Linked DNA regions of Rattus norvegicus. The protein of the gene in region 2 interacts with the protein of the main gene of each other region in a pairwise test. Links are inferred from orthologs where the notes say so. Each region holds a gene or a part of one and is shown on either strand. Other genes may lie near its edges.

Region 1 (7,393 bases), about 42 Mb from region 2:
TTACCCCACCCTGCTTTGCCACCCATCCTGCTCCTTCCAACCATTTCCTCCCTGCTTCCCACTCCTTCACCTGGCCCCTGTGCCAGGTCTCATGTCCGAGGATGCCCCCGTGCCAGCTCTAGTATCCAAGGATGCCCCTGTGTCAGCTCTAGTATCCGAGGATGCCCCCATGCCAGCTCTAGTATCCGAGGGTGCCCCCGTGCCAGCTCTAGTATCCGAGGATGTCCCCGTGCCAGCTCTAGTATCCAAGGATGCCCCCGTGCCAGCTCTAGTATCCAAGGATGCCCCTGTGTCAGCTCTAGTATCCGAGGATGCTCCTGTGTCAGCTCTAGTATCCGAGGATAACCCCCGTGCCAGCTCTAGTATCCAAGGATAACCCCCGTGCCAGCTCTAGTATCCAAGGACTAGTATCCAAGGATAACCCCTGTGCCAGCTCTAGTATCCGAGGATGCCCAGGCAGTTCTCTGCTTGCGCCTCAGCAACATCTATCTCAGCCCAGGTGCCCTGACTCTGTGGAAGTTTGTAGTCCTCCTGCTTAGAGACTGCCCTGAGGAAGGGGTGTTCGTGTCAGCCCTTGTTCCAGGAGGGCTGGAAGAAGAGGGGCAGCTGCTGGGCTGGCCTCCAAGCCGAGACACTTTGGGGCTTGGTGTAGAAGATTTTTATACTTCATACAACTTGACTCAGAGAGGCTTTTATCCTGGTCTGTGGGGGGCAGTATCAACAAGCTATAATGGACTCTAAGGGACCCTTTCTTCTCTCCACCCAGGCCAGGGCAGCAGTGTCCCCTCAGAAGAGAAAAGCAGATGGTAAGAACCGCAGACACAGGCTTGTCAGAATTGGTAGCCTGATCTGACTTTGAGGGTTTTGTGGGAGTTTGAGGAATAGAATCCAGGTTGGAGAAGCTCTTGGCTGAGGGAGCAAGAACATGGAGAGGTGGAGGTGTAGCTCAGTGGTAGTGCTCTCGCCTAGCATGGGCAGGAACCCAGTCCCAGGCTGCACACCACAAGAAGGTAAAAGTGCCTGGAGCCCCCAGGCAGGGTGGAGCAGAGAGAGCAGTAAGAAGAGACCCTTATGGATGAAGGGAGTAAGGCACTTCCCTCAGTGCCTTCAGGAAGTGGTGGTTGTCATTTTCTTTCAACGTCCTTCTACCCTTCTAGGACCCTGACCCTGCATTTACACTCGGAGGGTCCTTGGGGCAGCTGGCACCGCACACAGGATTAACGTTTCTCTGCAAAGGCAGGGGGTTACTTACTGCTGGACTCCTCTGCTCTCCTTGGGATCTGTATAACCAACCGGCCCTGACGCTGACCTGGCCAAGCAAGACCGTTGTCTCCATCCCTGAGCAGCCCACCCCTCCCCAAAGAGTAACTTCTCAGTGTCCCCCACAAGAAGACAGGCCTCATCCAGAGTCAAAGCAGCAACCCTCCTGACTAAACCCTGGTCCTTGGCCACTGAGTCATGAGCCAGGCCCCGCTGCAGGAGGGACTCCTGCCAGAGACATGTTGGGTCTTGCCCATCCTAACTGCCACTGGGGAGTTGGCTTCCCAGGCTTTCTCAGGGCCATTCCTGGTGTCTGCCTCTCAGATCCCAAGGACTGGAATAAAATTGGACCTGGATATGACTGCTGTGTGGTTGTTGTATCTTACAAGGGAATCAAGGCTTTTGTGGGGAGCACCTAAGACAGACTTCTGGGGTCCCTACAGTTTGAGACATTAGTTCTTAGAGAAAAGCCTGAGGAAGGAAGTTGGGACCAGGGCAGGCAAACAGTCGAAGCACGTGGCCTCGGGTGGGGAAGGGGCTTCTGCACATTTCTGGAGGTCAGGTCATGTCTGCACCTGCCCCAAACACTTGGCAAATTGGCAAGGCGGGCTAGCTAGCAGGGTCTGTGTGTGGGAGACAGCTAGCAGCAGCACCATGTGCTGTCGACCTCACAGCCACACGCCCCCTCTGCTTAGCAGTGAGTGTCAGAACCACCCCCAGAACCTCAGTTAAGCAAAGAGCTTAGTTTCCATGGAGACACAGCATCCTTTCTCCATAGCAACCTGAAATCACAAAACCCAAGTTAGATTCAGGAATGAGTCATCTGCAACCAGTAGGGGGTGCTCTCCCACAAGGCTGACCCCGCCTTCAAGGCTGGAACAGATGAGCCAGTGACCACAGACTTCTTAAGGTGACCCAGGGGTGCGGCTTGGGCCTGTGGGAACTTGGTTGGCCGTGTTTAACCCCTCCCTATCCCACTGCATAGTGTGAGGAGGCTACAGGAAGTGCTGTGTGGAGGTGCTCCTCCCACAGCGGGGGCCCTGATAGACTCTAGTGTGGAAGCCTCTGCCATTCAAGACTGGGCCAAGAGCAAAAGAAGTGGACACTGGCTACATGGAGTGGACATACAAGAGTTAACTGGCGGGGTGTGACCGGGCGAACCGCCTTCAGGAAGTGTTACTCACCGCCAGGAATGTGCACGCCTGTGCCTTGGGGGTTGGATTCTCTTCCTGAGTCCCAGGAGAAGCTGAAGGAGCTCCCAGCCATGGAAGACCCTGGTGAGACCGAAGCACACCCTCTGGGAGCCACCAGCCTGAACTTTGTACCTGGGTACCAACAGGAAGAAAAGTTAGTAAAGTCGGGAGATCAGCCAGGTGCAGGGGGTGAGGGCAGTTATAGGAAGATCTGGCAAGGACAGGAGAGATGGGAAGCCCCAAATGGGAAGAGGTGTTCACCCAAGACCCCTACTCAAGTCTGGGTGTCTGCCCCCAGGCCATCTCCAGACCCACTGTATGACACACCTGATGCCAGAGGGGTTCAGGCAGGCGGGTCCCAACAACCAGCACGCACAGTGAGCTTGCGGGAGCGGCTGCTGATCACCCGGCCTGTGTGGTTACAGCTGCGGGCCAACGCTGCAGCCGCACTGCACGTGCTGAGGACAGAGCCTCCGGGGGTGAGTCTCTCCCGTTCCTAAAGGTCTAGCCGGACAAGACTGGGAGGGAAAGGGCCTGGACGTGGAGATCCTGAGCCTCCTAATCTTGATCACTCGCAGACCTTCCTGGTGCGGAAATCTAACACTCGCCAGTGCCAGACTCTATGTGTGCGGCTGCCAGAAGCTAGTGGCCCCTCTTTTGTCTCCAGCCACTATCTCCAAGAGAGTCCTGGCGGTGAGGAGGGTGGCCTAGAGGGAAGGGGCTGGAAGACAGGCAGGGGAGGGAGGTTCCCAGAGAACGGCCTCACTCCCAATGTCTCTCAGGCATCTCTTTGGAGGGCTCAGAGCTCACATTCCCGGACCTGGTCCAGCTCATCTGTGCATACTGTCATACCAGGTGAGCCTGCCAGCAGGGCACCTGGTGACCCCTGGGCCTGCCTCCAGGGACTGCCCACCCTCTGCATCTGAGCACCACTCTCTCTTGACTGCACTTTGCTCTGACCTTAGGGACATTCTTCTCCTCCCTCTCCGACTCCCCAGAGCCATTCATCAGGCAGCCACCCACAAAGAGCTGGAGGCCATCTCCCATCTGGGCATGGGTAAGGGTCCCCTGCAGCCTGTTACACAGATGGACACATAGAAGCCAAATGGGGGGAAGAAAGAACAACCAAGATTTTTCTTTGTGGGTACTCTCCAGAGCCAGCTCTGAGGTCCCCATTGGTTTCTGATTGCTAGAGTTCTGGAGTTCCTCTCTCAACACCAAGAACCAACAGAGACCTTCAGAAGCTCCGCAGATACCCCGGCTGAAGGCTCGCTCCCCTCAAGAGCTGGATCAGGGCACTGGTGCAGCCCTCTGCTTCTTCAACCCCCTCTTCCCCGGGGATCTGGGCCCCACCAAACGTGAGAAATTCAAGAGGAGTTTCAAAGTGCGTGTATCCACAGAGACCTCCAGCCCTCTGTCTCCACCTGCTGTGCCGCCTCCTCCAGTCCCCGTTCTGCCAGGGACATCTTCCAGCCAAACGGAAAGACTGCCCCCTCGACAGCTGCTGCAGAGGGAGAGCTCAGTGGGATACCGTGTGCCAGGAAGTGCTTCTGGTCCTAGTCTTCCTCCCCTACCTTCACTTCAGGAGGTGGACTGCTGCTCCCCCAGCAGCTCAGAGGAGGAGGGTTCTTCAGGAAGCCCTACAACCTCCCCACGCCTAAGCCGCCCAAGGCACCGGCGGCCTCTGCTTCGGTCCATGAGTTCTGCTTTCTGCTCTCTGCTGGCACCAGAGAGGCAGGTGGGCCGGGCAGCTACAATGCTAATGCACAACCGATACACAGCTGTGGGTCAGCTAGTGCAGGACCTATTGACCCAGGTTCGTGTTGGTCCTGAGTCCCGGGAGTTGCAGGGCATCCGACAGGCCCTGAGTCGGGCACGGGCCATGCTGAGTGCAGAGCTGGGCCCTGAGAAACTGCTACCACCAGAGCGGCTGGGTAAGGCCGAGCCCTGGCCTGCACCGGTTCATGTCCCTGGCTCTCCATCCTCCCCTGTCTCCCTCTCTCCTTGACTTTGGTACCTAATGACTGCTGCTTACCCTGCACCCCACCCCCACCCCTTCTCACTACTGGTGCAGGGAATTCCATCTTCTCCTCCTCACCCTTCTCCCTATCTCCTGTCTTGGCGAGGGACTCCTGCTTTTCCAGGCTTCTTTCCCCTGACAGCAACAACTCTCTTCTTGCAGAATTGGTCCTGGAGAAATCCCTGCATCGCTCTGTTCTCAAGCCTCTTCGACCCATTCTAGCTGCCCGCCTGCGGCGCCGACTTTCCACAGACGGTTCCCTTGGCCGCCTAGCTGAGGGCTTCCGCCTGGCCCGGACCCAGGGGCCTGGAGCCTTCGGGTCCCACCTGAACCTTTCTTCCCCAGTGGAGATAGAACCAGTGCGTCAGAAGCTGCTGCAGCTCCTTCGTGCCTACTCGCCTAGTGCCCAGATCAAGTGGCTCCTGCAGGCCTGCAAGTTGCTATACACAGCCCTGAAAACCCAGGCAGGTATGACCCCCTTACCCCAACCACTTCCCCCAGCTCCACTCTTTCAAAGTAGAGGCTGTGCACTACCCACTTCCACAGCAAGCCGGTTCCAGAACCCCAGAGCTGCAAGCAGCATAGAAGGATCCAATCCTCTATTCCAGGAACTCTAGAGAACATTGTCTTTCTTCCCTGTAACTTTCCCTGAGGTTGCTATGTTGGTCCTGGTCTGTTACCTAGTTACCTAGGGATCTAGCAGGCGGAGGGGAGGGGTCACTGTCTAGTGTGGCGATTGGGCCTCTGAGGAGGCTGGAACTTCTTCCCATGTCTCCACAGGGGAGAATGCAGGTGCTGATGAGTTCCTGCCTCTCTTGAGCCTTGTCTTGGCCCAGTGCGACCTTCCTGACCTCCTGTTAGAAGCTGAGTATATGTCAGAGCTACTGGAACCCACATTGCTCACTGGGGAGGGTAAGAGTTCCCTCGCTTCCTGTTGGGGTGAAACTGGGGCTTCTTAGCTGCTAGTAAGTTCTTAGTAATCAAGGAAGGAAAGGCAGGCCACCCTACCCCAGCCTGAGGTGCATTTTATGTATCCTGTGTCCCAGGCGGCTACTACCTGACCAGCCTCTCAGCCAGCCTGGCCTTGTTGAGTGGCCTAAGCCAGGCCCACGCACTGCCACTCAGCCCTGCCCAGGAGCTCCAACGTTCTCTGGCCCTCTGGGAACAGCGCCGCCTGCCGGCCACCCACAACTTCCAGGTAAAGGGCCCTTCCCCACGTCTTCCCCATACTGGCCATGCTTGGAGGGACTCTAACATTACCCAGCACAGTTCCTCTACCCAGCACAGTTCCTCTAGCCTTGCATCACCCTACAATAGAAATAAAGGCCCACCTGGGTATCAGAGCAGCCCTTCAGGAGAATGTGTTCCATGGGGCAGGCACTGGACTGTGAACTTCAGGGCAGCCTCCTTGAATCATCACAGAAACCCTGCAGAGGTAGGGCCATTGTTTTTCTCATTTTACAGATAAGGAAGTAGAAACTGATGTCAGAGTGACAGCTAATTCCTGTCCTCTAGCACCAGCTAAGGCTCTACCATCCTTGTCCTTGAGCTTCAGTCTTTGCTCCCATTTGGACCTCAGCCAGGGCACACCATCCTTGACCTTCAACCTTCTCAGTCTTGCCAGATCCCAGATTCATCCCAGCTCTATCACTTTTTGTCTGTGCCTTGGTTTTCTCATCTCTAAAATGGGCACCTTGGTTGCCATGAAGGGAAGGTGTACTAGTGAACTATGGGGGAATAGTTCTAGGTAGGTAGCCCCAGGAACAGTTATGGAGAGAGCCAAGCACACAGTGGACTTTCCTTATAGATCTTTTCATAAAGTCCCCTCTGGCTGGCCTTGCACCTATACCACTAGTCCGAACACATTTCTCCCTGCCCCAATGTCCCCCTTGGAGCCCACAAGTCAGTCAGATCTACCATGAATGTGTACCACCCCACTCTATCACTGCACAGCTTCAGCCTGTCCCTTGTGCTTTGGAGGTGACAACCAGACAGAGCTGAGGACTTGTTCTTACTTTCTGCACAGCACCTCCTCCGAGTAGCCTACCAGGACCCCAGCACAGGTTGCACCTCCAAGACCTTGGCTGTGCCCCCGGGGTCTTCGATTGCCACCCTGAGTCAACTCTGTGCCACCAAGTTCCGAGTGACCCAACCGGATGCATTTGGCCTCTTTCTCTACAAGGACCAGGGCTACCATCGCCTGCCCCCTGAAGCCCTAGTCCACAGGCTTCCCACAACTGGTTACCTCATCTACCGCCGGGCAGAGCGCCCCGAGACCCAGAGGGCTGCAACAGAGAAGACCAAGACAGGAAATGAGAGGCCAGAGGCAGGAGCATGGGAGGAGGAGAAAGGGGGTCTAAATGGTGAAGGGAAATCTGAGATAGCTGTTGACCAAGAAGGCAAGGATCAGGCCAGAGGAGGTCACATGCAGCTAGAGGAACAAAAGGCAGAGGGATGCCCGGCTTTAGAAGAGTAGCCAGGAACAGCTAAAAGGGTTACCTGGGTCTTCAGGAGCCTCTAAGTGCACTCTGCCCAGCTGCCGAGCTTCCTTCACTACCCACACACAGTTCTCTGTGGTGTCTGCCACTGCCTCTAGCTGATCTTCATGAGTCCACCTGCTAGGGAACAGGGAGCTCACCATATAGACGAGGGCAGCGTTAAAAGAGTTGGGAGACTGCCAGACCCTCTGTTCAAGGCCCCTGGCTTCTGTCTTCCCCTGTAACCCACAGGGATAAATGTGTCTGGTAAGGAAAAATTCCTCCTAATAGCCAGCTTCTGACATAGGGGGACAGTAATCCCGGCTTCTTTTGCCTCTCCCACTGCCCATGAGTACAGGCAGGTTCTGGAGCATCAAGACCTTTTACAGCTCCAGCCTCCTAGTTTCAGGGGTCAGGGAACCAGCGGAATGGCAGCAACACTC
Region 2 (8,414 bases):
GAGCCAGCAACCGGAGCTGACCCCCCTCGGCCTCCCTTTGGACCGGGAAGCTAGACACTGAGGAGGAAAGCTTCTCCTAGAGGAGCTGTGGGGGAGGGGCAGGCGCCGCGCTTTGGTTCTTTGTGCTGGAACAATGACCAGCTGCCGCCGGCCCTTGGGCTCCGGCAGGGATAAACGATGACCCGCTCGACAAGTCTCGAGCCAGCTGAACCTCCTAACACACGCAGTCTCTAGGCCACTCTGGGAGGAATCCCAAGCGCCGCCGTGCAACCCCCGCGTGCGCCCTGGCGGGCACTCGTGACGTGGGTTGCTTGCGCGTGTCCGCGCCCCGGGGCGGGGACGCCCCTCGGACCCCTCCCCCGTTTGGCGTGCACCGCCCACTCGGGCCGGGCGGGGGCTGGTCAGGGCCGGGGGCGCCGGCTAGGCGGAGGCGGGGCCGAGCTGGGCAGCTCCGAGTGGCCGCGCGCGCGGGCTGGAGCGGGCGGCGCGCCTGTGGAGTGCTGGGGCGGCCCGGGGCTGAGCATGGAGCAGCGCGGCGGAGGTGAGGGGTCCAGGGCTGAGGGTGCCCCAACTTCTAAGCGATGCGGTCCGGTGGGGAGGTGGCATTCCATAGACGCCCCCAATTCATGGAAGGAGAGGACTATTATGGGTGGGCCGGGGACTCTGGGCTTCAGTCTCGGAATGAAAACTCGTGATCCCAGACTGGATCCTGCTTGACTGGTCTCTGGAGTTTGAGTGTATGTGTTAGGGGGACTTTCCCCAACTCTCCAACCCCAGCCCTGAGGTCAGAGAGTTGGAACGTGGGCCAGACTTATCTCAGGCCCTGGCGCGGCCCCAGATTCTAGAACCCCCAGCCCACTTGCTAGGGTGAGGGCATAGGGGTCTTTATACCATAGTGATAGGTCAGGGAGTGCTAGGGAGAGCCAGGGGTTTCTTTTTCCCACAGCTACAAACGCATTTCTCAAAATGGAGCCGCTTGCCCCTCCTTCTCTCTTGGGCCTCAAGAGCGGGAGCCAGGCTGGCTAGGCCTGGCTTTCCAGACGCCTGGCCCTCAGAGCCCTCAGGGCCCAGTTTTACGTTCCCTTGGCTTGCAGGGTCCTTGCCTGTGTAGCTTCAGCGACCCTAACTCAGGGGTCTGCCTGGGGCTCCTCGTGTCTGAGTCTCTTGGCCTCTTTGTCTCTTCTGTCTTGTCTCTGAGTGCCTTGCCCTTCCTTCTGGGTCTTTCTGTCTACCCCGGAGTAGGGACAGGAGTGCCAGCTCTTTCTCACTCTTCTCTCTATACTGTGGAGCAGTCTCTATCCCTAGGCTGGACCTGATGGGGGCGATCTCAGTACCTAGCCCGACAGAGAAGTATGTAGTTGCTTCTTGTACCCATTTCACTTCCTACCCTAGCTCTCAGCAACTCTGTCCTCAAGCTGGACTCCTGTGACTCTGAGCTGTGTCTTAACACTGAGGGCACTTAATGGAGAACAATATAGAAAGATTAGATGGGGCAAGAACTTCCAACACTGTGATCTCACCTTTCCTCGAACTCTTAGGTTTAAAAAAAGAAAAAGTTTTAGGGAGGAGCTCCCAGTCACTCCCGGTGGCCTTGAATGTCAAGAAGGTCCCAAGGCACTCCCAGAATACTCACACGTACAGATTACTCCAAATAAGCTTTCACGCCCTTTCCTTGTGTAAAATACATACATTGGAGTCCATGTAACTGTCCTGGGAGAAATGAAGACGTTCTGTAGAGATTTGCCTCTCAATCTGAGAGGCTTGACTCAATGGACCCCAGAAAAATGAGGATTACCCTAGGAATTCCACGCTGAAAGGAGAAAATAAATGGCTTATTGAGGATGGCTGGTTGAAACCAACTCGGGGCTCACATTTGGTGATATTTACACAAAACTCACATATATGTAGACAAACGTATATCCAACCATTTTCTTGTCATATAGTGACATTCAGAGCCCACAGATTCATTTGTTACATACACATTAACAACATCTGTTGCTTCCTAAGTTATGAAACTCGTAGTCTTGTAAAACATAAGAACTCACACATCTAGCACTCAGGAGGCAGAGGCAGGTGGATCTCTGAGTTCAAGGCCAGCCTGGTCTACAGAGCAAGTTCCAGGGCAGCCAGGGCTACATGGAGAAACCCTGTCTTGGAAAAGCAAACAAACAAAACAAAAGAATTCACATGTACAGCTGAGCATAGGAGCACAAGGTTAGAATCCCAGCTGTCTGAGGCAAGAGGATCCCTGAGTTTGAGGCCCACTTGTGGTGCATGGCACAACCCTGTTTGTTTTTGTCATGTCCCCCTACATCTCGTGTGTGTGTGTGTGTGTGTGTGTGTGTGTGTGTGTGTGTGCACGAACTATCTGCCTAAACTCATACTGCATATTTTCATGTACGTTTTCACAGATTCTCTTCATTTTTATGGTCCTGTCTATGTACTCACACCACAAGTGTACACATACACACTCTCTCATGGAGGCCTCTGTCCACTTCTTGGCCCCTGAGCTACATGATGACTTCAGCAGATGCCTAAGTCTTGGTCATCGGCAGCCTTGGGACTGGGAGGGAGTTCCGGGTGCAGGCTTGCTATCCTTCCCAGGAAGGAGCAAGACTGAGGATGGGGGGTGGGGGTGGAGCCATCTTCCTTGAGATCCTACCAGATGTGGTAATGGGCTCCTGCTCAAATTCCATAGGAGTTATTCCGAAGATCAACTAAAGCAGGAAGGTTTATAAAGGTTGACAGTGGGACAGGGCCTGTGTAGGCTACCTTAGTCCCAAGTGATGGCAGAAGCTAAGAGTTGACATAGAAACAAGCACAGCCTATATCGACCTCTGGGAAGTAGGAGACCCCAGAGGGCATCTGTGGGTTCCTAAGACCTGTGAGGTTTCCTGTTTGGCCAGCTCCACCCTCAACGCCGCCTGAGTGTCTGGGAGAAACTGAGGCCTAGCAGTGGGAGGCTGGACAGTGCCTGGCTTTGGTTCTTTGTTCCCTAATTACCATCTGAGTTACTGATTGTATCCCTGACTTGTCCTCTGCCCAAATAGCCCAGGAATGAGGCCACCTGTCCCAAGAGAGTAGGGACATGTACTGGGAGCTAGTAGTTAGGGATCTCTGCCCAATCTGAGACTTCGCTATATAGGGGATACAGGTTTGGGCTTAACTGGGTCTCCTCTGTCAAGGAACCCTGCATAACCTCTTAGTTCTCCCATTCTTTCATCTCTGTTTGGTTGAGTTGTTCCTTATCCTTGTTCCAGACTAGAGTTGAGGCCCAGAGGGACTTGAGGTTCATTGCCAGTTCTTGGGAGGTGAAGCTGTTTCACTATATGGGGAATGTTCTATCTGGAAGAGGGGGTCAGGAGAAGGCTAATAGGGGGAGGATCCTCAAGGTGCAGGGACTCTGACGCCAATGCCTTGCTCGCAGGTTGCCCTGGAGGCCCCTGGCCAGGCCTGAACCTCTGCCACCATGGCCATTGTGCACACTCTGCCAGTGCCACTGGAGCCCGCACGTGAGACAGCCACTGCCCCACAAACTCCAGCAATGGGCAGCGTGAGCAGTCTTATCTCAGGCCGGCCCTGTCCTGGGGGACCTGCTCCTCAACGCCACCATGGTGTCCCTGGGCCTACCTTCTTCCGCCAGCAGGATGGGCTGCTCCGGGGTGGCTATGAGGCCCAGGAACCACTCTGCCCAGCTGTGCCACCCAGGAAGACTGTCCCAGGCAACAGCTTTACCTATGTCAATGAGGACTTCCGGACAGAGTCACCTCCCAGCCCAAGCAGTGATGTCGAAGATCCCCGAGAACATCAGGCACACAATGCCCACCTCCGTGGGCCCCCACCAAAGCTCATCCCTGTCTCTGGAAGGCTGGAGAAGGTAACGGGCAGCCCTCTTGGGAGGATCTGGGTGGGGTCGAGCTCCCCGCTGGGGAAGCTAGAATTTGGAGGCATGGACTCTGTCTTATCTCTCTTTCTGGCTCAGGGAGATAACCTGTCTGAGCCCCATTTTCTGTGTCTTTACAGTTAAGGTTAGAGGATAATCTTTATAGGCTCCTGTTAGAATTAATACTCCCAAATGAACAATATAGTAGTTCGTGTTTCTCTCTCTCTCTCTCTCTCTCTCTCTCTCTCTCTCTCTCTCTCTCTCTCTTTTGGTGTTTGAGACAGGGTTTTTCTCTGTAGCTTGACTGTCTTGGAACTCACTATGTAGACCAGGCTGGCCTTGAACTCACAGAGATCTGCTTGCTTCTGCCTCCCAAGTACTGGGATTAAAGGCATTTGTTACCACTTCCAGCCAAGTTGCTTTAGTTATTATAGAGGTGTGTGGTGTGGTATGGTGTGGTGTTGTGTGTGTGTGTGTGTGTGTGTGTGTGTGTGTGTGTGTGTGCGTGCGCGTGCGTGTGTGTGTTTGGGCGAAGCCTTTGTTTACCTTTATTCTGGGACTGACTCTATCCTGTTTTTAGTAGGAGAGGAGGATAATGTTTTGCTTGCGTGGCTATTATCATGATTAAAAATAAGCATTTTGAATTACTTAACATAAGTAGACGTTTAGAAACGGTGCCGCCGGGGTTGGGGATTTAGCTCAGTGGTAGAGCACTTGCCTAGCAAGCACAAGGCCCTGGGTTTGGTCCCCAGCTCCAAAAAGAAAGAGAGAGAGAGAGAGAGAGAGAGAAAGAAAGAAAGAAAGAAACGGTGGGAACCATTGTTTTTCATTTATAGGGGTGAGAACCCTGTATGGGAAAGCCAAGTAGTATGATGATTTTGTAAGATCAAGGTGGGCCAGAGAGATGGCTCAGAGGTTAAGAGCACTGACTGCTCTTCCAGAGGTCCTGAGTTCAAATCCTAGCAACCACATGGTAGCTCACAACCATCTGTAATGGGATCCGATGCCCTCTTCTGGTGTGTCTGAAGACAGTGACAGTGTACTCATACACGTTCCTAAGTTCAGATCCAGTACCCATATAAAAAGGTGGCCGTTGTGGCAAAGGACTGGAATCTCAGCACTTGTCAGGCAGAGACAGGCAGATCCCTGGGGCTTGCTAGCCAGTCAAGACTAGCTGGATTGATGAAATCCAGGTCCAGAGATTGTGTAAAAACTTAGGTGGGAAGTGATTGAGGAAAGCTCCTAACTTTGACACTTTGACATTTGATCTTCACACATAGGCACCACGTATCCATACTCATACATATGCACCCCCCTCTGTGTGTGTGTGTGTGTGTGTGTGTGTGTTTTGAAAGATCAAGTAAGCAAAGTGGGCTTGGTATCACACACCTGTAATCTTGAAGGGCTTGTGTTCAAGGGGATACATAGTGAGTGGACCCAGGCCAATAGAGTAAAACCCTGTCTCACAACAATACTAAATTTTTTAAAAAGAAAGGGGTCGGGCAGATCATCCTCACAGTGTCACATGCTACCTCATTTCAGAATATGGAGAAGATCCTGATCCGACCAACAGCCTTCAAGCCAGTGCTACCCAAACCTCGAGGGGCGCCATCCCTACCTGGCTTCCTTGGTCCTCGAGCTGCTGGGCTATCTGGGAGCCAGGGCAGCCTGACACAGCTGTTTGGGGGGCCAGCCTCTTCCTCCTCCTCTTCCTCTTCCTCCTCTGCTACTGACAAACCCTTGGCACTCAGCGGTTGGGCCAGTGGCTGCCCTTCAGGAACACTGTCAGACTCTGGCCGAAATTCTTTATCAAGCTTGCCCACCTACAGCACCGGAGGTGCCGAGCCAACTGCCAACTCCCCAGGTGGGCACCTGCCCTCCCACGGCCCTGGCCGAGGGCCACTGCCTGGTCCAGCCCGAGGGGTCCCTACTGGGCCCTCCCATTCAGACAGTGGCCGGTCCTCCTCCAGCAAAAGCACAGGTTCCTTGGGGGCTCGTGTAGCTGGGGGGCTCTTGGGCAGTGGGGCCCGGGCCTCCCCTGGCAGCAGTTCGGGTGGAGACCGCTCCCCACCCCCTCCACCACCTCCACCCCCTTCGGATGAGGCCTTGCTACACTGTGTCCTGGAAGGGAAGCTTCGAGACCGAGAGGCAGAGCTGCAGCAGCTGCGGGACAGTGTGGATGAGAGTGAGGCCGCCGTGTGTCAGGTGCGGCCAGTGGCAGTCCTGGGGCGGTGTGGCTGAATACCCAGGGCCTAGGGACAATTCCTGTTGGGGAGGAAGAGGGTAAAGACTCATGATGTGACACCCCCAAGGCTATGAGCATAACCTTCAAAGCAGTGAGGAGGCAAGGTATGTGAATTGGATCCAGCACTGGCTTGTAGGATGTTAGATTTGAGCAAGTTGCTTAACCTCACCCAGCCCCAGTTTCCCTGTCTAAATGGGGATAGCTGTTACTCCCTAAAGGGGTTATGAAGATTAAATAAGACGAAAGGGATAAAGTACTTAGAATAATGCCTGTCACCTAGGAAATGCCATATAAGTGCCTGCTTTTATGGTTGTCCTAATTCACTGGATTCAGGCCAGGCAGGGAGCCACCCAAGCAGAAGATGCTAGAACTCACGATTTGGGGGGACCCAACCGTTTCTAGCCTTCTGTCTTTGTCTAGGCATTCGGGGCACGGCAGCGGCGCTGGCCAGGAGAACGAGAGGACTGTGCCTCTCACGCACAGCAGGCCACACAGCGTGTCCAGCGGGCTCAACAGCTGCTACAACTGCAAGTGTTCCAGCTGCAGCAAGAGAAGCGCCAGTTGCAGGATGACTTCGCCCAGCTGCTGCAGGAGCGAGAGCAGCTGGAGCGCCGCTGTGCTACTTTTGAAAGGGAGCAGCAGGAACTTGGGCCACGGCTAGAGGAGACCAAATGGGAGGTATGCAAGATGGGCACTGGGTGGGCTGGAGGGATGGCTCAACGCTTAAGAGCACTGACTGCTCTTCCAGAGGTCCTGAGTTCAATTCCCAGCAACCACATGGTGGCTCACAACCATCTGTAAACTTCTGGTGTGTCTGAAGACAGCTACAATGTTCTGATATACATAAAAAATAAATATATTAAAAATAAAGATGGGTACTGGGCAGGCTGAAGGGGTTACACTAAGATACACAGAGGTGTGGCCAGTGTTTAGCTACCTTCCAGGGTCTGTCCTTCCTATTCTTTCTGTGTTGGGGGTTTCCCTGTTCCTCTGTTGTTCTCAGAGTTGTGATCTAGCACCCACATAGCTAGTGGTGTTTCCTTCTATGATAGATGGGTACTGTTAATCCCTCTGTTTCCACTCCTGCAGCCTCCGTCTCCAGGCCTGGGCCTTGTTTATACAGCATCTGGTATAAGGATCCCAGCACTGAAAAGAAATGACCTGGGTCTCTGTTCCCCTATCACCTCTTTTTTTTTTTTTTTTTAACATTTATTTATTATGTATAGTCATACAGCTTTCTACCTGCATGTATGCCTGCAGGCCAGAAGAGGGCACCAGACCTGATTATAGATGGTTATGAGCCACCATGTGGTTGCTGGGAATTGAACTCAGGACCTCTGGAAGAGCAGACAGTGCTCTTAACCTCTGAGCCATCTCTCCAGCCCCCCCCCCCCTTTCACCTCTTAATAGAAGTATAACCATGGACGTATCACTAGGCTCTCCTGCTGGGCTTCTGTGTGTAAACTCCTGAGACAGCATTTCCTTGAATGCCCGGTGCCCAACACCCAGAGGCCTCACCATCTTCCCTCAATACTTTTCACCTACAGGTGTGTCAGAAATCAGGTGAGATCTCCCTTCTGAAGCAGCAACTGAAGGAATCTCAGGCAGAGCTGGTCCAGAAGGGTAGTGAGCTGGTGGCGCTGCGGGTGGCCCTTCGAGAGGCCCGGGCTGCCTTGCGGGTCAGTGAGGGCCGTGCCCGGGGCCTGCAGGAGGCAGCCCGAGCTCGGGAGCTGGAGCTGGAGGCCTGCTCACAGGAGCTACAGCGGTACCGCCAGGAGGCTGAGCAGCTCCGGGAGAAGGCTAGGCATTTGGATGCTGAAGCAGCAGGACTCCGGGAGCCCCCTGTACCCCCGGCTACCACCGACCCGTTCCTCCTGGCGGAGAGTGATGAGGCTAAGGTGCAGCGGGCAGCCGCTGGGACAGGGGGTAGCCTGCGGGCTCAGGTGGAACGGTTGCGCCAAGAACTGCAGCGGGAGCAGCGGCGGGGAGATGAACAACGGAACAGCTTTGAGGGGGAGCGGCTGGCCTGGCAGGCGGAGAAGGAACAGGTGATCCGCTACCAGAAGCAGCTGCAGCACAACTATGTCCAGATGTACCGGCGTAACCGACAGCTGGAGCAGGAACTGCAGCAACTGAGCCTAGAGCTGGAGGCCCGGGAGCTTGCTGATTTGGGCTTGTCGGAGCCGGCCCCTTGCATCTGTCTGGAGGAGATCACTGCCACTGAAATCTAGGACTTTGCAAGGGGTGCGAGCCACCGCACCACCTGCACCGGGATCCATCGAGCAA

The links.
Region 1: the proteins of Lzts2 (region 2) and Rin1 interact in binary tests that used the Homo sapiens proteins (3 or more experiments, as listed by UniProt). The two-hybrid records come from large-scale screens. The link is inferred for Rattus norvegicus from reciprocal best matches to the Homo sapiens genes LZTS2 and RIN1.

What each region holds. Positions count from the first base shown.
Region 1 is NC_086019.1:211,782,791-211,790,183, forward strand, and holds Rin1 (ras and Rab interactor 1), read left to right. Parts: upstream 1-2,316; 5' UTR 2,317-2,452; coding exon 2,453-2,607; intron 2,608-2,751; coding exon 2,752-2,932; intron 2,933-3,031; coding exon 3,032-3,146; intron 3,147-3,235; coding exon 3,236-3,308; intron 3,309-3,418; coding exon 3,419-3,510; intron 3,511-3,646; coding exon 3,647-4,387; intron 4,388-4,635; coding exon 4,636-4,941; intron 4,942-5,253; coding exon 5,254-5,385; intron 5,386-5,519; coding exon 5,520-5,671; intron 5,672-6,499; coding exon 6,500-6,949; 3' UTR 6,950-6,965; downstream 6,966-7,393. UniProt on the Homo sapiens protein: Ras effector protein, which may serve as an inhibitory modulator of neuronal plasticity in aversive memory formation. Can affect Ras signaling at different levels. First, by competing with RAF1 protein for binding to activated Ras.
Region 2 is NC_086019.1:253,828,672-253,837,085, forward strand, and holds the start of Lzts2 (leucine zipper putative tumor suppressor 2), read left to right. Parts: upstream 1-3,427; 5' UTR 3,428-3,469; coding exon 3,470-3,877; intron 3,878-5,425; coding exon 5,426-6,088; intron 6,089-6,548; coding exon 6,549-6,806; intron 6,807-7,675; coding exon 7,676-8,359; 3' UTR 8,360-8,414. UniProt on the Homo sapiens protein: Negative regulator of katanin-mediated microtubule severing and release from the centrosome. Required for central spindle formation and the completion of cytokinesis.